3 linked regions of the Callithrix jacchus genome follow. The protein of the gene in region 2 purifies or fractionates together with the protein of the main gene of each other region. This does not show direct contact. Links are inferred from orthologs where the notes say so. Each region holds a gene or a part of one and is shown on either strand. Other genes may lie near its edges.

Region 1 (6,980 bases), on a different chromosome or scaffold from region 2:
CACACGAGGGCCCGGAACTCACGAGCCCCCCACAGAGGCCCCCCCATTTGCAGGAGCTGGGGCACTAGCACAGCACAGCCCACGCCTTTTGACCAGCACCCCTCCCCAGTTCTGCTCTCTGCAGCAACACAGAGTACAAATATTGTTCCTTTGGTTTCTTTTTTCCCTTTGGAGACATTTTAAATGACAAAAATAGAGCTTGATTGTTGCACCCAGACAGATGTTTGCTTCCGGGCCCTTTGGGTTGGAGGACTGGGCCCCCTCGCAGAGCCTGGAACTCCCAGCCCCCAGCTCCTGGGGTGCCTTCCTCCAGGTGTGTCCCTGGCTTGGGCTGGCGGGCGCAGTCCCCACTCCTGGGATGTGCAGTTTTAATAAGCTACTGGGTACCACCCTTGATTGAATTCAGAGTGACAGACTTAGAGCAGGTCACCTCTCGACTTCTAATGAGGCCAAGACGGGAGGAGTCCCCACAGCCCCGAGTTTGACTCTGTAATTAAGCTGGTAAAGTGGAAAAATAAAAGTAGGGAACCTAAGTGGAGAGCAAACCAGAAAGCCAGGCAGCCGGAGCTTCCGAGCCCGCTTTCTCCCAGCTGTGCGGCCTCGGGGCCCACGACGTCTCTGCTACTTTTGCTGCTTTTCTATAACACAGGGTGAGGCAGCTACACCCTCCGAGGGGTGTCACTAGGGCCAATGGGTCCGGATGTTTGGAGTGTGGGTGTCTGAGGGCCACTAGGTCACTACCCACTCTGGCCCTTTGCTCCTAGTCTCTGGGGAGGCCCTGGCACAGGGCAGGGGTGACTAGACCCTGCCTCTTTCTGCTCCCAGACCAGTTGATATGAGTCCTGCTTGAGGGGTTCGCAGGGCCTCTGGAGCCTTCTTCAGCTTCTCTTTGTTTTCCTAAGATAAAAATTGTCACATCTGTGCTTGTTGTGGGAAACTTGAAAAATAGTGCACAGAGAAGAATATGAAATCGACATAAATCCCTGCATGTGGTTCATCAAGGGCCCTGGCCCCTCTCCTGGGTCAACGCCCTGTCCGGGACAGCTCTCCCCTCACTTTAGATCTCACTTCCCCAGACCCAGAAGACCCACCCTGCTCCCCCAGTGGCATCTGCACGCTGTCACGGCATTTCACAGGGGCTGGGGTGTCTTGGGACTCAGAGGCAGGCTGCTGGGGGTTCAGGGGACCTTGCCGTCCCTCCCTCCCAGATGTCTCTGGCTGCTCACAGGTTCACTGGAGACAGGGGCTCAGAGCTCCCAGACTGCTGGACCCTCCAACAGGTGTCTGACAGTCCCCCTCCCGACCTGGGTGGCTCCCAGTTTAAGGAGGGGGCTCCCTGCCTCATGGTAAGTGAGGCAAAGCGGAGACAGCGGGAAAGAATGGTCTCTCTGGGTCTGGTCTGGCTGGGGTGAAGCAGTGTGTGTGTGTGTGTGTGTGTGTGTTTGTGTGTGTGTGTGCGCGCGCGCTTGCACGACCAAGGTCTGTACCAGGAAGGGCTGCAGGTGGGGGAGGGGCATGGTCCTTCTCAGCCCCTTCCCCTATGACCTCAGGCAGATCTTTCACTTTTACCCAGTACAGCAGCCTCCAAGCAGCCTGAACAGGCCGATCCCGGGGCTGGGGTGGCCTGGCCCAAGGCTGAGGGGGGCCGGGACCCCCGACAGTGACATGATGGGCGCAGCCCAGTTTGGGCTAAGCCTGTGTTCCATCTACTGGGCAGGGTAGGCCTCCGCAGATGGCGGCTTCTCTCTCCAGCCCCAGGGGGCTGCTGGGCGCCTCTCCAAGTGTCCTACACATGGTCCCTCCGGGAAAGAGTGGAGCTGACCCCGTCCCCCCTTCCCGACTCGAGGGCCTTCGGGCCGGCAGGTGTGTGAGGGCTCCAGGTGCGCGGACCCTTCGAAGGGACACAACCCAGCAGCCGCAGCAGGCCGCGCGGGGGCAGCCGAAGACCCCGTCCGGCGCAGGCCGGGGCCGAGCTGGCAGCGGCGGGTCCAAGTCCCGTCAGCCGGCGCAGGAGGCCCAGGGGCGAGCACGGGACGGGGCTGGGCGCCGGGGTCCGGACCGGGCCGGGGTCGCGCGGGGCCTGGCCGGACACCGGACCCGCCGGGAGCCGGCCCCTGCCGCGCTGGACCGAGGCCCCCGCCTGCAGACAAAGGAGCCGGCGGGGGGCGGGAGCCGGGGGGGGGGGGGCAGCGGGGGGGATGGGGCGAGGGGGCGGGGCGTCGCGGTGTCACGTTACCGCCCGCAGCGCCCTTTAACTCCCGCCCCCGCCCCGCTCACCGCCCCCTTCCCCTGCTACAGCGCGCTCACCCCGCGGCCGCCAATCAGCCGCGCGCCCCGGCCGCGCGCCCCGCCTCGCCCTCGGTGGGTGTGCTCGCGGCCAATGGGCGGCGCGCGGGGGCGGGGCCGCGAAGGGGCGGGGCGGCGGGGCGGGGGCCAATCGCCGCGGTGTTGTTGAAACTGAAAATACTACATTATGCTAATCGCGGCCGGGCCCGCGCGCACGGGGGTGGGGCCCGCGCGTATAAAGCGGGCGCAGGCGGGCTGGGCGTTCCACAGGCCAAGTGCGCTGTGCTCGAGGGGTGCCAGCCAGGCCCGAGCAGCGAGCGAGCCAGCAGGCATCGAGGGGGCGCGGTTGCCGGCCCGACCAGACCAGCGAATTCCACGCAGGAGAGTGTTCGACCCGACCGCCAGGTAGCCGCCGCGCCCGCCCTTCCGCCGCGTCCCCCGCACACGCGGCGTCGGGCTGCGCGGGGTCTCCCTCGCGCCCGGCCTCCGCCCTCTCCTCCTGTCCTCTTCCCCCTCTTCTCGCTGTCCTCTCCTCTCCCGCTGCCCGCGATCGCGCAGTCCCGGGCCATGTCCGACGCGTCCCTCCGCAGCACATCCGTGATGGAGCGTCTTGTCGCCCGTGGGACCTTCCCAGTACTTGTGCGCACCAGCGCCTGCCGCAGCCTCTTCGGCCCGGTGGACCACGAGGAGCTGAGCCGCGAGCTGCAGGCCCGCCTGGCCGAGCTGAACGCCGAGGACCAGAATCGCTGGGACTACGACTTCCAGCAGGACATGCCGCTGCGGGGCCCCGGACGCCTGCAGTGGACCGAAGTGGACAGCGAGTCGGTGCCCGCGTTCTACCGCGAGACGGTGCAGGTGGGGCGCTGCCGCCTGCTGCTGGCGCCGCGGCCCGTCGCGGTCGCGGTGGCTGTCAGCCCGCCCCTCGAGCCGGACGCTGAGTCCCTCGACGGCCTCGAGGAGGCGCCGGAGCAGCTGCCTAATGTCCCGGTCCCGGCCCCGGCGTCCACCCCGCCCCCAGCCCCAGTCCTGGCTCCGGCCCCGGTCGCGGTTCCGGACGTGGCTCCGGTCGTGGCTCCGGGTCTGATCCCGGCTCAGATCCCGGCTCCGGTCCCGGCTCCAGTCGTGGCTCCGGGTCTGATCGCAGGTCCGGTCGCGGCCCCGGTCGTGGCCCCGGTCTTGGCCCCGGTCGTGGCCCCGGCTCCGGTTCTGGCTCCGGTTCTGGCTCCGGCCCCGGCTCCGGTCGCGGCCCCAGCCCCGGCCCCGGCCCCGGTCCCAGCTCCGGTCCCGGTTCCGGGCCCGGCCTTGGCTCCGGCCCCCGCCCCGGGCCCGGCCCCGGACGCGGCTCCTCAAGAGAGTGCCGAGCAGGGCGCGAACCAGGGGCAGCGCGGCCAGGAGCCTCTCGCTGACCAGCTGCACTCGGGGATTTCGGGACGTCCAGCGGCCGGCACCGCTGCTGCCAGCGCCAACGGCGCGGCGATCAAGAAGCTGTCCGGGCCTCTGATCTCCGGTGAGCCCCGCACGGCCCCGCCCCGGCCCGGCCCGGCCCCGCTTTGTCCCGCCGGCCGGTCTCCCCAGCCCTCGGGGGGCCTCGCTGGGTTCCCGCCTCCTCCCGTGGCATTAAAGGGCCCGCAGCGCTCAGGGCGCGGCTGCGCCCTCACCCCCCTCCCTGCCCCGTGGTCGTGCCCTCGAGCGGCTTGCGCGGGCGGGGTGGGAGGAGGAGCCCCGGCGGCGACCCCCCGGGAGCGCAGCCTTCACCCCCGGCCACAGGAGACCCTCCCCGGGCGCCGCCGGGCGTCGTGATCGCGGCGCGGAGGGGGTTAAGCGCAGCGGCGGCCCCGGGGGGCTTGGCCGCGGGACAAGGGGAAATGCTTACACAGCACATTGCGCGGCGACGTAAACAAAGCTGACCCGCCGCAGACCTCGGCGCGGGCAGGGACGGCGCCCCCACCCCGGCCAGCCCGCGCCCCAAGCCCTCTCCCGGCCCCCTCTTGGGTCTCTCGGCCGGCCCCGCCCTGACCGGCCGTGCGCGCTGTCGCCCGCAGATTTCTTCGCCAAGCGCAAGAGATCTGCGCCTGAGAAGGCGTCGGGAGAGGTCCCCCCGCCGTGTCCCGCTCCCAGCGGCGCCCCCGGCGTGGGCTCGGTGGAGCAGACCCCGCGCAAGAGGCTGCGGTGAGCCAAGTGAGTACGGCGCACCTGGGGGGCGCGGGGGGCCTTCCTGCGGGGTGCTCTCGGACTTTGCTGACCTCCCCTCTCTCCCCCGCTCCGCAGTTTAGAGCCCAAAGAGCCCCGAGGGAACCTGCCGGGGCAGCGGACGTTGGAAGGGCGCTGGGGCCTCGGCTGGGACCGTTCATGTAGCAGCAACCGGCGGCGGCTGCCGCAGAGCAGCGTTCGGTGTTTAAATTCTGAAAACTGTGCAATGTATTGATTACGTCTTTTTATATCTAAATGTATTCTGCACGAGAAGGTACACTGGTCCCAAGGTGTAAAGCTTTAAGAGTCATTTATATAAAATGTTTAATCTCTGCTGAAACTCAGTGCAAAAAAAAAGAAAAAAGTAAAAAAAAAGTAAAAAATAAAAAAAACCATGTATATTTGTACAAAAAGTTTTTAAAGTTATACTAACTTATATTTTCTATTTATGTCCAGGCGTGGACCGCTCTGCCACGCACTAGCTCGGTTATTGGTTATGCCAAAGGCACCTCCACCTCCCACATCGTCCCGTTATTGACAAGTGTATAACTTTATTCTCATAGCGGACTCTGGGGAAAGGGGTCACTCACAAGCTGTAGCTGCCATCACGCCCACCTAGCTTGCATTCTCTTCGCGCTTTCGCTCTCTCTTACTATTACTGTGTTTATCTTAAACTTGAAGACAAATCTGTTAAAATGGTTCCTGAGCCGACTGTACCACTGCCCCGGCCCCTCGTCCGCCGGGTTCTAAATAAAGAGGCCGAAAGATGCTGCAACTCCAGTCTGTTTGTGCTTGTGCCTGCCTCCTGCACCCCCAAAGCTGGAGAGCTAGAACGCAGGAGAGAGCAGGCCAAAGTGGCCATCCCCAGTCCAAAAGGGGAAGCCTCTCTCCCGGCTGGGCCTGGCCCACTCCCGCCTGCTCCAGTCACCTTATCTCAGGAGGGGCAGCTGGCCGGCACTGCACCCCACATTTATCACCTTCCACCTTCGGGGCTGCAGAAAGACAAGTGTGGGCTTCACGTAGCCCCAGCAGGCAGGCAGCACAGCCCCTGACTTGCTGCCCAGACCCAGGCTTGTTTCAAGGAAACCATGGGCAACCCCTCTGCCCCCGATGATGGGCTCAGGCCCCTGCTAGTTCGAGGATGCACAGGGGTGTGGGGTGGGGAGCAGGGCTCCGCCAATGCACGTCGTCCCTCCAGACTTCTTCAGGCCTCGCACCAGGGTCTCCCTAGGTCTTGCCACAAGACAGCCAGAGTGTTCAAGGTCTATTCACACCTGCAGTGGAGGAGGGATGGCCTCGAAGCCTCTGAGGGGAGGGAGAAGTGGGAGGACAAGGGGGGCACCCTGGAACCAGGAGGGCTTGGGGATAGGTGGCTTCTGATGCCCAGGCTTTGGTGGAAGAAGTGGAGGCTGTGTGCACCCCCTGCACCCACACTGTCTGCCCCAGCAGCCCACTAGTTTCAAAGCCCTCTCTTAGTAAGAGACTTTTTTATTTTAATAGCTGACCTATAAACCTCTGAAAATTATGGCTTACAATGGAAAGGGTGACGTAAAACAGCAAAAACAGAACGGCTAGCAGTATTTTTGCTGGTGCCTTGGCCCAGGGGAAGAGAACTGGTGGACTCTTATGGAGCCCTACGTGACAGTTGCTGACTCCCCCCAACCCCCTCCCCTCTGTGTCAGGGACAAAGAGGGGCCGGACTCGAGATGCTGGAGACGTATTTAGACATAGAATTAACTGAGCCTCCCCGAGCTGCCTGGAAGGGCTGGGCGAGGAGGGCAATGGGGCTGGCCTTGAGGCCCAGCTGGGGCCAGACTCTGGGAAATGCCCCCGGGCCCCGAGAGTGGCAGGCCCTGCTGTTTCCGCTCGGCAACAGGGACTTTCAGCTGATAACGGGACCAGGCCACGCAGACCTGACTTCAGCCTTCAGACCTCTCCTCTCAGGAAGAAACCACCGCTTTCACCTGTATGAGCAGGACAAAGCCCTTTCCCTTCTGAGATAAAGGAGGGTAGCAGTGTCTTCTGCCCTGGGCTGGGAGGGGGCTGGACTGGGTGCCTGGCAGGCAGTTTGGTGGGCGTACAAGGTGACCTGAGTTAATTGTTTTTGGTGATCAAGCTGCTGGGGTGAGCCCTCAGCATCCACAGCCACGTCTAATGCCGGGTCTCCTGCCGTAGGCTGGGCCGAGGGGCGTCTACCTTGCTTGGCTTCTCACAGTCCTGGACCCTGGGCACGGGACATGTAACTACTACCCTAGTGTCACTCAAGGGTAGCTTTCTCAAAATCAGTGTGAGGGCTTTGTGAGGACATGAAGGTGAGGCCCAGTGACATTTCTCAGGAGGAGTTTCTCCCCAGGGCAGGAGCTGGCTGCAGGGACCCACAAGCCACCCTCCATGGGCTGCTAGTCACATGTGTGACTCTGGACACTGTGACCCAGGCAAGCCGGCCTTTCCTTCTGGGGGCCTCAGTTTCCCCATCTGGGTTGAGAGAGGCGTAGAGTTCTTTC
Region 2 (7,235 bases):
AAAAATAACTATTCTGACTACCCATTCCCAAGACCTCATCCTTATACCTCTAGTTCTAGTGCTTTCCTGATATAGATTATCTTTTGCCAGCAGTAGGCTTTCTTCCATACTGCAGTATCAATCTCCCTCTGAATACTAAATCTCTTCCCCGCTACTGTACAAAGGAACTAAGTAAGACCTGCCCCTAATTATTACCTAAGAATCGCCATTCAAAATGAAAGTTAACTCACCATTGCTAAACTTTCAACTTTGCAGTTTGCAGGCTGCTGATGCAGAAAGTATTGGGTAAGAAACTGATTTACTGTTGGAGCAGCTAAGTCAAAAGTAAGGACTTTCAAAACTAGATGCTCCATTCTCAGAACTTGTTTCTTGGTGTAGGTATCATCTGTAATGTACACAAACTCTGCTACTTCTGGGGGGTATATTTCTTCAAACTTTCTACAATGAAAAAAGTTTTAAGTAATCAGTCCTAAAAGAGAAGCAAGCTTCCTTATCCCAATTCTGAAATCCCATTAGCAGAATATATGGAATGAATCCAAAACCCATACCAACTGCAGTTCCAGACACTTGATCATCATTTCTAGCAGAGACTGGAAAGCTAAATAGTAATTAAAAGGCCCAAATCAACGAGGCACTTTTGAGATATTTTCCCAGTTCAGTCAAAGGAAGTAAATGAAAGGCATGAGACTTCTCAAGATGGGAACAATGCCAGAGTTCACCAAGTAGATGAAAATTTAGGAAATACAAGTCCTAATAAAACATATTTTATGTGTTCATTTTTAAATTTAGTTTTTCTTTTTTTTGAGACAGTCTTCCTGTCACCCAGGGTAGAGTACACTGGCACAATCTTAGCTTACTACAACCTCCACCTCCTGGGTTCAAGTGATTCTCCTGCCTCTGCCTCCCTAGTAGCTCAGATTACAGGTTCATGCTATCATGCCTGGCTAATTTTTTGTATTTTCAGTAGAAATGGGGTTTTGCCATGTTGGCCAGGCTGGTCTCAAACTCCTAACCTCAAGTGATCTGCCCATCTCATCCTCCTAAACTGCTGGGATTACAGGAGTGAGCTACCACGCTTGGCCTTTACTTCTTAATGAAAGAGACACTGCTTATATGCCAGAAAGTACTTTAATATTGGAAGGAAAATGTTTTAAAATTTGTAATCTACTATACTATATATAATGTAGACAGTCTGTGTTCATTCAAGATAGGGGAAAATTAGGGTTCTAGATTAGAACACAGTTTCATCCTATTCCACTCCAAGCCCTACCACACTGCCATCCCTTAAAGTAGTCACTGACTCTCTGCCTGGTATAATATTAAAAGGTCACCATTAAAAATCAATTTCTTCCCTAAACAAAAGGTAGTGATAACTTTTAATCAAACAAACCTAGGTAGACTTACGAGGCTAACAGCATAGCAGCAGTGCCCACAAGCTGAAGCTTTCCTCTCAGCACGGACATGGAAGAAAGGAACCTATCAATGTAGTTCACAGCCAAATGCAGGGTCTCATTCTGTAGTTTATATTCTTCTCCTACTTCAACTAACCAGTCCACGAGGATAGCTCTCATACTGTTAGTGATGTCTGGCTGTTTCTTCATGTAACCCACCTTAGGTTTACATTTAACCTATTGAGAAAATTATTTAGTGTTAAAATTGCAATTAGATTATTTTACCATGAATTAAGAGAGGCTACATGCTATAAACTTAAGTGTATCATTAAAATAATTCATTAGCAGTTTAAAAACTTAACTATCTTCTTAATTTCACTTAGCCACATTTAACAAATATATTATACAAACTGGATTCAGAGAACTTTTACCTCCATTTCCCTAAGGTACGTGTGAATATCCTCATGGTAGTCTGGTACTTCATTAACACTCACTGGCTTTTCATCTTCTAATACAATTGACATGTCCATAGTATGTGGTGACTCTGGGACAATTCAAAAGATATGATTAAATTAATTGTCTATTTAGTTTAATAGCTAAAAATGACTGCCCTTGTAAGGAATCTTATATTAGCAAAGCACTTATTTCATCAAACTAAAAAGCTTCTCATGATGAAATATGTAGAATATTTTACCCTAGTCTTAGTATCTCTGTACATATATCTTTGGAATGACATTAGTTAATGAGGAAAAAAAAAATACATTGGTAGGCCCCTAACAAGAAAACGAGAATCATATATTATCTTAAAGCATTCAACTTCCATTACAGAAAGGAGCAGATGGCATGGTGGTTCTGTCAGGATAGAGCACTTAAAATCCAAGTTTTGAGATAATATCTAAGATTTGCCCTAATGCAAATCCCAGAGTCTGACATATACAAAGCCCAATTAAACAACAGCTGGAATCAGTTAAATGGTCTCCATTAACAAGTGTTATTAAGAAATTAGGTTTGTTGCTGGGCAAGGTGGCTCATGCCTGTAATCCCAGCACTTTGGGAGGCTGAGGCGGGTGGATCACCTGATGTCAGGAGTTCGAGACCAGCCTGACCAATATAGTGAAACCCCATCTTTAAAAAAAAAAAAAAAAAGAAATTAGGTTTGTTATGGACAAACAGATTAACACTATAAATAAGTATTTTTTGTAGTGTAAATTATCTTTTGAAGCAAAGAGTATCATCCATTATTCTTTTCACATCAAAGATCACCTTGAAATTAAACTTATTTTGCAAAATTTTAATAAAAACACACAAAATATTTCCAACGGACTTTTTCTGCTCACTCATCCTCCCCCACAATCAATACAACTAAAACTAAAATGAAATTTGATTTAGTGAGCTGTCCAGTGACTCAATATCCCTAGGGCAAAGAAATAATACAAACTTCGAAGAGCTGTTTACAGCAGCTACTTTAATACATGAGTAAGGGCAAACAGCCATGGTACAACTGTTGACCTGCAGGAGGGAAAGTGTCACTTTCTGGTATCAGATGATAAACCAGACTGGTTTTATATAAACAAAATTGTAACACTGCAAGAGATGTTATGTAATCACAATATTTAAAACTGCATCTTCAAATAGCACACTCTAAGTGATATATAAGTGAGTTAAATAAAACAAATCCATTCTCCAAGTACATTTACGGGATCAGATTAAAATAAGCATTTAAGATCTAATTATAATTAGATTGATATGATGGCAGTGAACCTGAAAGAGTACTGGATTAGGATCTTTTTGTAGGACACCAGGTCAAGTGTTAGCTGTGAGATCCAAGATAAGTCACACCCTTTTAAGCCTTGTTACATTAAACTTAACTCACTGTAGTCAAAATGACTACATGAGACATCACTCTAACAATTTCCTTAAAACTTACCAAAACTACCATCCATTGGATAATCAAGAGGTACCAATGGTTTTCTGGGTCCAGGTAAACTAACCGCTGAATTAAAAGCCATGACATCTTCACGCTCTGCCTTCTGGGATTCAGCTGGCTTCTTATGAGTCTCCTCTTCTGCTTCATCCACATGAATGGTGAATGCAGGCTGTTTACTGTTTGCTTTCCAAGAAGGAACGGTGACATGCTCATCATTTACAGGAAGATCCTTAAGGGGTGCAACCTAAAAAAAAAAAATTAATAACTGGCTTTGAGCCTACTTGAGTTTTGCATTCTTTCTCTTGTGAATGTCGGCTTTGCTTTTTCTCCTAAATACTCTACCAGGAATTAAACTTTCTGGGACAAAGAATAGTTTGAGTATTCAAAAAGAGAATAGATGTTCCCATTTGTCACAGGCATTCCCACAAAGGCTAACAGTTAACACTAGGTGGAATTATGCAAAAGTAATCAAGGCCACAAGAAGGGTCGGGTGGCAGGCCAATACATGACAAGTTTAGGAAAGACATGGCAAAAAGTGTTGTTGGTTCACCACTGTCGCCCGAGGGTGGAGCAACAGAGCAAATCCAGCTAAAATGGCGGAATTTGCCAAAAGCAAAGTATTTCGTACACCGTTTTCTAAAGTAGAGGTCATCTCTTCAGCATGAGATGGGAGAGGGGCAAAGTCCTAAAGCAGGGCCTGGGGTTTAAAAGTGGAGAGAAAGGCGAGGAGCTGAGCAGACTTACACGTTATAAAGCTTGGGTTTGACCCTATTATGTAAAGCAGATGCCCCTTATAGAGAGCAGAAAAGGCAGCATACACACAGTGTTGGCGGGATCGTGATGTTAAGAATCCCTATTGTGGCATCCCAGACACCAACACCAAGTGGACACCAGATCCTGGCCCCCTTCCAAAAGCCTAGGAGATGCCTTCTCGCCACTCTCCTCTGCCTGCTAAGCCAATGCCAAACCCTGCTCGACCCACCCTCCTGCAGATAACCCGCATCCTTTTACCCGTCGCGTCTTCGGCCTCTGCTGCTGCGATGCACCCCGGGGGTTCCCGGCCTTCAGTACCGCCAGCGCGGCCCGGGTCCGCGGTGGCTGGATAGGCGCTGCCTTTTCCGGGTTGATGTTCTCCTGGTCCTCTTGGAGCGCCGTCTGCTGCAATGCTAGCAGCGCCGAGCCCGCCTCGCGGGCTGCAGGCTCCGGCGCGGAGTTGCCCAACATCACTGTTCCCGGGGGCCGACGGCGGGATCAGCTTGCGGCGCCAAGCAGCGTGCACTCCGCCCAGCAGACCGGTCGCACCGACCCGGCCAAAGAACAGTCGTAGGCGCCGCTTACAGCCCAGGCCAGCCTACCTGCCCGCCCACTCACCCAGCTCGAGACCACGCAGGGCCGAGGAGGTTGTGAAAGGTGCAGGCAGGAACTGCCGGGCGTGGCGGGCCAAAGACGCCCGGAGATACAGATAGCAGCCCGCCGGAGCGGCGGCTGTTCTTGCAGTTCAAGTATCCCGCGACTATTGAAATGGACCAATGAAAGCGCCCCGGCCTTGACGTCATTCGAGGCGACAGGGTCGCAGGCAAGTGAAGGAAGCACAAAGGTAACAGAGCAGGGGAGGGGCAGGAAAGAGAAACCACCTAGGGCTGAGGCGGGAGGAAGAACGCCTGTGCGGGAGTGGGGCTCAGGGCCCAAGCTTCTGATTACTTTAAACTGATCCACCTAGGGCAAGGCGGTCCAGAGGCTGACCCTAAGCCTTTTAGGGAATTAAACGGAATTAAACTTTAGCGACTATGATTTGGGCTGCCCCAGGTTTTAGCTCTGGGATCTCTAGTTAGCTTAACTGACTTTTTCCCAAGGTTTAAAATCTGGGCCACGTTTTTCAATATCTCCAAATCTCTGTTTTTTTAATCTGTTAATAGGGAATAATATCTACAGTCATGGTTGTTAGAATTAAATAATGCCCATAAATCATTTAACACGGGGCTCACATAGTAATACAGTACTCAATTAGCAGACTATAATGTCATCTTAACATTTAGGTGTTTATTCACAGTAACCAGAAATTGTGTTTTTGTTTTTTTTTTTCCTAATGAAGATGCAATTTAAGATGCTACCTTGAACTACATAATAATATCTACATCTATAATAAATAGCAATACATTACAAAATATTCAAATAGTCATTAATTTTTATCTATTTTCCCCAAGCTGTGGCAGCAAACAAAAAACAATGAAATTCTAGTGACCTAGATATAATTATGTTCCTTTCAGAAGTAAAGTTTCTCTAAATATAGCAAAAACAATATGACCTTGTTAAAATAAAACTCAAGTCTTAAGTATATGTGCCTTTAACAAATTTTTATATTTATATAAAAAGCTAGTCCGGGCGCGGTGGCTCACGCCTGTAATCCCAGCAGTTTGGGAGACCGAGGCGGGTGGATCACGAGGTCAAGAGATCAAGACCATCCTGGTCAATATGGTGAAACCCCGTCTCTACTAAAAATACAAAAAATTAGCTGGGCATGGTGGCGCGTGCCTGTAATCCCAGCTACTCAGGAGGTTGAGGCAGGAGAATTGCCTGAACCCAGGAGGCGGAGGTGAGCCGAGATCGCGTCATTGCACCCCAGCCTGGGTAACAAGAGCGAAACTCCGTCTCAAAAAAAAAAAAAAGCTTGCACGTAACTAATAAGTATAATAGCATATCATTAAGAAGCACTGTTTTCTACAAAATTTGTGAGCCAGCTCTTCTCGAAACATAAAGCATATTTTACATTATCTTTTTGCTAGTTTAAAACCTTTCAATACAGTATTCCCTTGAAATTAATAAATATGAATTAAGATTAATGTACAAAACTTCTGTAGCCTTAATGTCATATATGATAAAAAGAGATCTAGAAGATACTAGTATAGGAAAATCTAAGATGGCATCACTATTTCTACACTCTTCCCCTGTAGCACGTTTGTATAGTTACAGCATGTCTAGTTAAGATCCCTCCACTCTGTGTAAGCTCTCATTTCCCTGGCTATAATTTATAGCACTGAGCCAAGTCGAGCATTTCACAAACTGCAGCGGAGTCCTAAAACATTCCTAAGCAAAAGGGAAATCAGTTGCAAATTAATCCTATCTCCTAGAAAAAATAATTGGTAGATTTTTCCACTAGCTGACACCATACATAGTAACCAGGACAGCACAAAGGAAGTACCAGGATTTGGGTTCTTGTCCAGCTATATAAAATACTAGCATGTCCTCTTAATCACAAGATTTCAGTGAGAATCAGTTTTCTTATATGATTTGACAAACTTATGCAACAGTTGTGAAGATCAAATAAGGTAATATATAAAAATACATTCTGAAACCTACAAAGCAGTTTATACATTTATGTGTTTCTATACCTTATAATACATTTGAATATATTTTCATTTTCCACATATTAGTTCTCAATTTAAAAATTAAAATAGCCACTTGCCAAAAATTCATTAAAATCCTATTTAAATCATTCCACTAGTGTTTTAAAAATAAAAATACTCTTCTAGTTTTAAAAAGTTCCATTTGTCAAAAGAAATAGAAGCATTACTTTAAAAAGCCATTATATCTCAAATATTTTTAGATATAAAAAAGGGTTTGAAATTAAAGTATGTACAGAGTTAACTTCTAATTCTGTTTTAACATTTTTCATTTAAACAGAACACTTCCTCGGGACTTTACCTTATTCGTATTTCATGCTGTGTCAAAGAATGAAATCAATGCATTTTGGTCATAACTGTCCAGAATTTCCAGGAGAAGAGGTACTTTAGTTTTTACATTGGTGCCTTTGAACTTAAATTTATCTATGAAAAGATCAGTGATCATGCCTATAAAACAAAAAGGTAAATTTCCTGTCACTGATTAGTTCTATTTAATGACAGTATTTCATTAAAGTA
Region 3 (6,928 bases), on a different chromosome or scaffold from region 2:
AGATTGTGCCACTGCACTCCAGCCTCGGAGACAGAACAAGACTCCGTCTCAAAAAAATAAAAATAAAAATAAACCCAAAGAACCATCAATCAGAAGAGTTACTTTGAGGTATCATTCAACGTCAATATTTTAAAAATTCTGATAGCCATACCAATATTTCAACAATTAGTGCTTTTACTATAATATAGCAAAGCTTACCTGGCTCATGAATCATGTAATGAACCCAGCCTAGACTCTGTTGGACACCAAGTCTCCTCCACTCCTCTTCAGACATCAGATGAGTTTTAGGTACTTGTTTGGAAAGTTCTCTGGGTAACATAACATGCCTGTTAAAAGATATAGTCAAGTATTAGTCCAGTTCCTTGTCTACAATTGTCTCTTTATACATGTACCTTTAGCAACTCTATGTTGCTTTAATATTGAGAACTACACTCTACTACCTATAATTCTAATTTGTGATGGCCTGTGTTCAAATTAGGGAGCTAAGAGTGCACAATTCAAAAGCAGAAGGCATTTTCCTTAGGATTAATTATTTTCTCTTAACAGAATGCTTACTAGTTTCCTTAATCTTCAGGAATAGAACCTCAAAATATAAGCTGAGCATATGGTTACCAGCCGCCAAGTCATAAGCCAACAAGATGTAAGAAAATATTTAACTTATGTGGAAAGTGTTCTCAAAGGTAAAGAACATGCTGAACTCTTTTTCCTTCTTGTTGAATGCACATTAATATGATAAGGGAGCCAGAGCAGGAATCCAGGACCATAGAAGCCACTGTAAATTGAGAATGGTAAAGCAACGAGGTAAGGATCCAGCCTAGTCCCTGGCTGTAGAGCTGTTATCCCTGCCCCACATTATTAGATTTTTATGTAAGGAAAAAGTCTGTTACAGTTAATTTGGGTTTCCTCTTACTCAACATAGCTTTGTAGTAGCTACTAGTCCTTGTATGCTCCAGAAGTTGCTTTATACAATATTAAAAACAGAAAACCACTAACTGCACATACACATTGTTTGCAACCTCAGTTTTCCAGTTAACTTACTGACTTATATCCAAAATTTACATTGTTCAGTTTCTTAGGCAAGCATGGAATAACCTTCAAAGTTAAACCATCAATATGTACAATTGTAGCCTTATGAAATTCTCAAAAACAAATCATTGTTAATAGCATCCCACAGCATTTTGTCAAAGATTTGCCAAATGAATCTTTTCAAATTGAATAAGAATTTTTACTCAATTATCATTAAAAAGGACTTTATAAATAAAGTCACAATTCTCGGCCCCATATCGACCATCTCCAGAAGTAGTAACAGTTTTTAACTGTTTTATACTTTATAACCACGAGCCCAAATTTTTTACCAGTGTTAAGATATCTGTCTGAGTCAGCTGGCTAGCAATGAATGAGGTGCAATATGGTCACATTCAGACACAGTAAACTGAATGCCTAACCCATTATAAGCACCAAGCCATCATCAACTTAAATTTAGTCTGTGGCTGGTTATTTAAGTACCAATTTATTTGCAGGGCAAAGTGGGCCTCAGAAAAATTCTATTATGTTGTTCGATTGCCTTAAAGCCACCAAGTCATAGGTTACTACCATAATTTGTACAGTTTTTACCAATTCCAGTGAACTATATGGTGACTTTTAGTAGTTCTTACCAGTTATCACCCACATTCTTGAAATGCTGCTTTAACATCTAACTTTTAAAGCTCTACAAATAAATCTGTTATCTTATTTCTATCTTCTATATTGATTATTCTCAAAGAGAAATATAGTGCTTTTGTACCTTTTCTTTCAGATTTACAGAGTAAGTAAATCTACCAACAAGTTATTTAGATAGAAATTACCACGCTTTTCTCCATAAACACAGAAACATGCTCTCCTCCATCAGCGTTTCTTTTTAAAGGAAAAATGTTTAAGTAGCATCCAGCCCATATGAGGATTCTAACTGTATTTTGCCATAGAGATAGTTTGCAAACTAACTACACGTAAGGACAATTATTTCAAAAAATCTAACGTTTATTTCAGTCGACATGCAAAACAGTGCTAAATTTATAAAGCTTCCCAGAGAAATCCTCAGTTCTTTGCCTGTAAAAACAGACTTCCATGATGTGGGGGTGGGGGCACCCACTGTTACATGCCCTTAGAAACATAAGACCCTCATGTAAAAGGACTAGGAAATTAATTTTGTAATCAAGAAAAATCAAAGAAAACTGCACACTGGCAAAAATACTATCCTTTGAAATATACATTGCATGCTGCCCCATTATATATTAATACAAACCACCCTAGATTCATGCCTTAGTGTTATATTATCACTAGTTTCCCCTTTATTTGTGGAGATTACTATCCTGTTTCATAAAGGTTAGTGGCTTGGTCATTTAATACCAGCTCTAATTTTTATTGGATTAAAATAAATCACTTCAGATATGTAAACTTGCTTCTATACATTCCACAAACAAATCAGCTGAGTATATTAAAACTAAAATATGGACTTACTGCCATCAGAAAGAAGTCTGAGAAATCGCTTGATTTTCAATATGCCCTAAAAGAAACTCATACCAACTTTTAAATCCTTATCCTAAACACTTGGCACTAGATGCGTTTCAGAATAATTTTCCAGGTTTTAGTAAGGTTATGGTTTTACATTGCGTTCATTATTAACGATCCTCAATAAGGCTCTTAACATCACATAATTGAACACTAGGCCAGCATATTACATGATTAAAACTGTATAGTTTAGTATTACTACAAGGTTAAGACAATCTACTTGAAATTTACCTACAGCCAGAAAAAACATGAGATTTTTCTAGTTAGGAATACAAAAGGGTGCAATTATTACTACCCATAGAAATCTTCAGTATTCCTTATGTGAAAACAGACTTCCATGCTTGTAGGGAGGGGGAGAAAAAGAGAAGCCACCCACTGCTGTTTTATTTCTTCCTTAAATAGCATTCGTAGAAATCGAACCTACAAGGGCAGCAGACAGAAAATAAGGTCGAAATTTGGCCAACGATGGCATGGGCTTTACCTCCCCTAAATCCTGGTAGTATCCCAGAATACAACGTTCTAGTCACTACCTAGTAGGACAAGGGGTTGACTGGTCTTTGAAGCCACGCCCTAAATGAGTGTCCCGAATACAATAAGGACAACAAATTTTAAATGTCCCTAACCCCTTCTCCCAGAAACATTTAAAATTTGTCTAATTTTACGGATCGATTATAACCACTACGTTCTAGTACATCGCTTCAGGACTCAAATGCAAAAGTTCCTCGAAGCCAAAAATTTGGCCAGTGTACACTAGCAGAAAATAATGCCCAAAGTCCACTCAAGCTCTTAATCGGCCTTAAAATGAAACTCCTTTAATAATGTCCTCAATTGTATGTCTGCGGCTAACCTATAATGGCCTAAATCACCATACCCAATAAACATTTTCAAATCCCCATCAAGCTCATTATTTTTCGGGGTTCCCCTAAAAATGAAAAAACATTTTCTTGTTTTTAGTGAGTACCACTCACTCCAAAAACAAGAAAATGAGGTGTGTTCCTCTATGCTAACAGATGAAAATTACCACTGTAAACCAGAAACTAGTAAAAGTTCCATCACCCAGGCAGCGAAGCGGGAGAGGTGTGCGACATGGCTGCGAACGGAAAACGACGGCTCTAGGTGGGTTTTCCGGGTCTGGTTCAAAGAGCTGGAACTGAGACCAGTTACTAAACGGTCTAATTTCTTCTGCCACAGCCGAGAGGAGAAGGACCGCACGGTCACTCGGCGTCGCCCAGGACCCCGGGCCCCTCAAGTTGCGCTGGTTCCTAAACGCCGCCCGCTGCGCGCTCTTCCCTCACCCTCCGCGTACACCTAACAAAGGCCCAACCGGCCGGGTGCGGCCGCGCACCCAACTTCGGCGGACTGCCGGGAGCAACAGGAGGCAGCGACCACCAACCCCATCCCTAGCCCTCCGGCTCCGGGCTCCGCCCCCAGGCCCCTGGCCCCCACTCCCTCTTCGGCTTTGGTCGCCCCGCCCGCGGGGGGCCCCGGCTAAGGGAGCCGGCTCGGGGTCGGAGAAAGCCGCTCACCGGTACTCGTAGTGCTCGTCGAAGTACTTGTCCGAGTAGTAGATCTGCTTGTGGGCCATCCTGCCGGCGGGCTGATGGAAATGAGAGAGCACGAAGCGGGAACAGCAGACAACTCGCACACGTCTGCTCAACGCAACGACTCGCTAGAGACTAACGACCGCAGTCCCAACGATCCCGATTTGAATCCGACAGCCCGCCGCCGATTGGACAGCAGCGCCGGCCAATCACCTTCTGCGGAAGTCAACCGGCTACCAGCCTATCGTCGCCGCCACCTCGCGGTTTCGGCTTCCCGGATCAGCCAATTAGAGACCTGTTGCGAGGTTGCAGTTGGAAGAATTGGAGAATAGGTACGGCACGTTGGACGGGTAGGGGCGTGGCCAGAGGAGGGCGGAGTCGGGACGTTAAGGGCGGTAGAGCCCGTGCGCAGGACCGTGGAATGTTCCAGGACACGGAACGGTTGGAGCGGAGGACATGAGGGTTGAGTAAAGTATCACGGGGTTTGGTGATGACGCAGTCGGTCGAGGCCGGAAGCGCGGGCCACAAAGCTTTGAACGGAAGCTGTCTAGCTCGGTTTCGGCGCTCTTCGTGCGCCTTATATCCCCTCAGGCTGGAGCCAGAAGCCTCGGTCCACTTTGAAAAGTAGTAGAAAACAGAAAGGCTCTGCGGTGTGAGGGGAGGGCGGCTGCGGTGTCTGATCGGTGAGGGGAGCGCCGGCGGCCACAGCGTGGCTGTGTCCCGCGCAGCCGTTCCGCCTCCCCTGCACTTGCTGAGGTTCCGGCCTGGCCAGTCCGGGGCTCCTAGCACGCCCCAGGCGAGTGTGTGGGGAATGGAGCCACGCGTAGTGGCGGCAAGCGCCAGTGGTCCCAGCCACTCGGGAGGCCGAGCGGAGGGTCGCTTGATCCCAGGAGTTCCAGACAGGCCTGGGCAACAGAGCGAGACCCGGTCTTTAAGTAAAGAAAAAAGAGATGGGCGTGAGACCCAGCATGCTTTCTGTAGCCTAATCTACTGTTCAAAACCGGGGCAGACCCAAGCCATGGAAAGCTTGAGGAAATAAAATAATGTTCTGCGGTGGCCAAGAATAACAGTGCTAAATAATTCCTGGGTAAGGGGATTAAAAATGATGTTTAAAAACTTTTGGTTTCTTAATATTGATCCTAGTTTAAAAACACATGTTCGACTGGGCGTGGTGGCTCACACCTGTAATCCCAGTACTCTGGGAGGCCAATGTGGGTGGATCACTTGAGGTAGGGAGTGCAGGACCAGCATGACCAACATGGAGAAAACCCGTGTCTATTAAAAATCCAAAATTAGCTGGGCATGGTGGCTCAAACTTGTAACCCCAGCTACTCGGATGGCTGAGGCAGGAGAATCTCTTGAACGTGGGAGGCGGAAGTGGTGAGCTGAGATCGCGCCATTTCTCTCCAGCCTGGGCAACAAGAGCTAAACTATGTATCAAAACAAAAACAAACAGAAAAAAAAGCACGTTTATAGAAAAGAAAGTTACTGGAAGAAACTTATGCCAAGATGTAAGTAGTGGTTGTTTTTAGATGACAGAATTGAAAGTGATCTTTCTGGTATTTTTCACATTTTCCACAATGAACACGTGCCATTTTTATATTAATTTCATTTTATGCTAATGGGTTCAGGGCGACTGTGACTAAAGAGACATAGACTGGTGGCATAGATGAAGTCCCCCAGACTAGATGCTGGAAGTGGGAGGTTTGGGAGCCAGCGAGGAGAGGGCTTTGTGGGAGCCCTTTTCCACACGGCAGATCACAGACAGGTTTTTGAACAAGTGAGGAAGCAGGCCCTCTAAGGCTATTTATAATCTGGATCCTGAGAGCCCCACTCTCATCTTGATTACCTCCCAAACGCCCCACCTCCTAACTTCCTAATACAATAATTGTGGGAAGAGGGTGTTTGAAATTTCTATTTTTTTTTTTTTGGAGCCAGTCTCACTTTGTTTCCCAGGCTGGAGTGCAGTGGTACAATCTCAGCTAACTGCAACCTCTGCCTTCAAGCCCTTCTCCTGCCTCAGCCTTCTGAGCAGCTGGGATTACAGGCCCCTACCAACATGCCCAGCTAGTTTTTGTATTTTTAGCAGAGACGGGGTTTTGCCACGTTGGTCAGGGTGGTCTCAAACTCCCATCCCCAAGTGATCCGCCCACCTTGGCCTCCCAAAGTGCTGGGATTGTCATAGGCATGTGAACCAGAGCAACTCCGTCTCAAACAGGAGCTGGGTAAGATGAGGCTAAAACCTATTGGGCTGCATTCCTAGACGGTTAAGGCCTTCTAACTCAAGGATGAAATAGGAGGTCAGCACAAAATACAGGTCATAAAGACCTTGCTGATAAAACAGGTTACAGTAAAGGAGCCAGCCAAAACCCACCAAAACCAAGATGGCGATGAGAGTGACCTCTGGTCGTCCTTATTGCTGCACTCCCACCAGTGCCATGACAGTTTACAAATGGCTTGGCAACTTCAGGAAGTTTCCCTATATGGTCTAAAAAGGAGAAGCATGAATAATCCCCCCCTTCTTTAATGTATCATCAAGAAATAACCATAAAAATGGGCAACCAGCAACCCTTAGGGGTCTATGGAGTAGCTATCCTTTTATTCCTTTAGTTTTTAAATAAACTTACTTTCACTTTGCACTGCGGACTCACCCTGAATTCTTTCTTGTGAGAGATCCAAGGACCCTCTCTTGGGATCTGAATCAGGACCCCTTTCTTGTAACAGAATTACAGGCATTAGCCAAGGCGCCCAGCCTGGAATTGCCACACACAGTTTGGTGGGTAGGAGCACACACACAGTCACACGATAGAATTCTTCAGGTGTCAGATTAAGGATTTCAT

What was found. Proteins that work in one complex are often made in the same cells at the same time.
Region 1: the proteins of CCNA2 (region 2) and CDKN1C purify together in Homo sapiens (affinity purification with mass spectrometry; 3 studies listed by BioGRID and IntAct, counting the BioPlex papers as one, with this or other methods). This does not show direct contact. The link is inferred for Callithrix jacchus from reciprocal best matches to the Homo sapiens genes CCNA2 and CDKN1C.
Region 3: the proteins of CCNA2 (region 2) and CKS2 purify together in Homo sapiens (affinity purification with mass spectrometry; 3 studies listed by BioGRID and IntAct, counting the BioPlex papers as one, with this or other methods). This does not show direct contact. The link is inferred for Callithrix jacchus from reciprocal best matches to the Homo sapiens genes CCNA2 and CKS2.

The regions. Positions count from the first base shown.
Region 1 is NC_133511.1:128,972,414-128,979,393, forward strand, and holds CDKN1C (cyclin-dependent kinase inhibitor 1C), read left to right. Parts: upstream 1-2,752; 5' UTR 2,753-2,853; coding exon 2,854-3,793; intron 3,794-4,328; coding exon 4,329-4,459; 3' UTR 4,460-4,464; intron 4,465-4,554; 3' UTR 4,555-5,251; downstream 5,252-6,980. Other genes in the region: uncharacterized protein LOC118145682, read left to right, coding at 1,209-1,346, 1,718-2,455. UniProt on the Homo sapiens protein: Potent tight-binding inhibitor of several G1 cyclin/CDK complexes (cyclin E-CDK2, cyclin D2-CDK4, and cyclin A-CDK2) and, to lesser extent, of the mitotic cyclin B-CDC2. Negative regulator of cell proliferation.
Region 2 is NC_133504.1:75,862,383-75,869,617, reverse strand, and holds the start of CCNA2 (cyclin-A2), read right to left. Parts: upstream 4,794-7,235; 5' UTR 4,543-4,793; coding exon 4,330-4,542; intron 3,563-4,329; coding exon 3,319-3,562; intron 1,936-3,318; coding exon 1,823-1,935; intron 1,629-1,822; coding exon 1,405-1,628; intron 439-1,404; coding exon 231-438; intron 1-230. Other genes in the region: BBSome complex member BBS7, read right to left, coding at 7,033-7,166. UniProt on the Homo sapiens protein: Cyclin which controls both the G1/S and the G2/M transition phases of the cell cycle. Functions through the formation of specific serine/threonine protein kinase holoenzyme complexes with the cyclin-dependent protein kinases CDK1 or CDK2.
Region 3 is NC_133502.1:73,156,982-73,163,909, reverse strand, and holds the start of CKS2 (cyclin-dependent kinases regulatory subunit 2), read right to left. Parts: upstream 4,229-6,928; 5' UTR 4,133-4,228; coding exon 4,074-4,132; intron 327-4,073; coding exon 199-326; intron 1-198. UniProt on the Homo sapiens protein: Binds to the catalytic subunit of the cyclin dependent kinases and is essential for their biological function.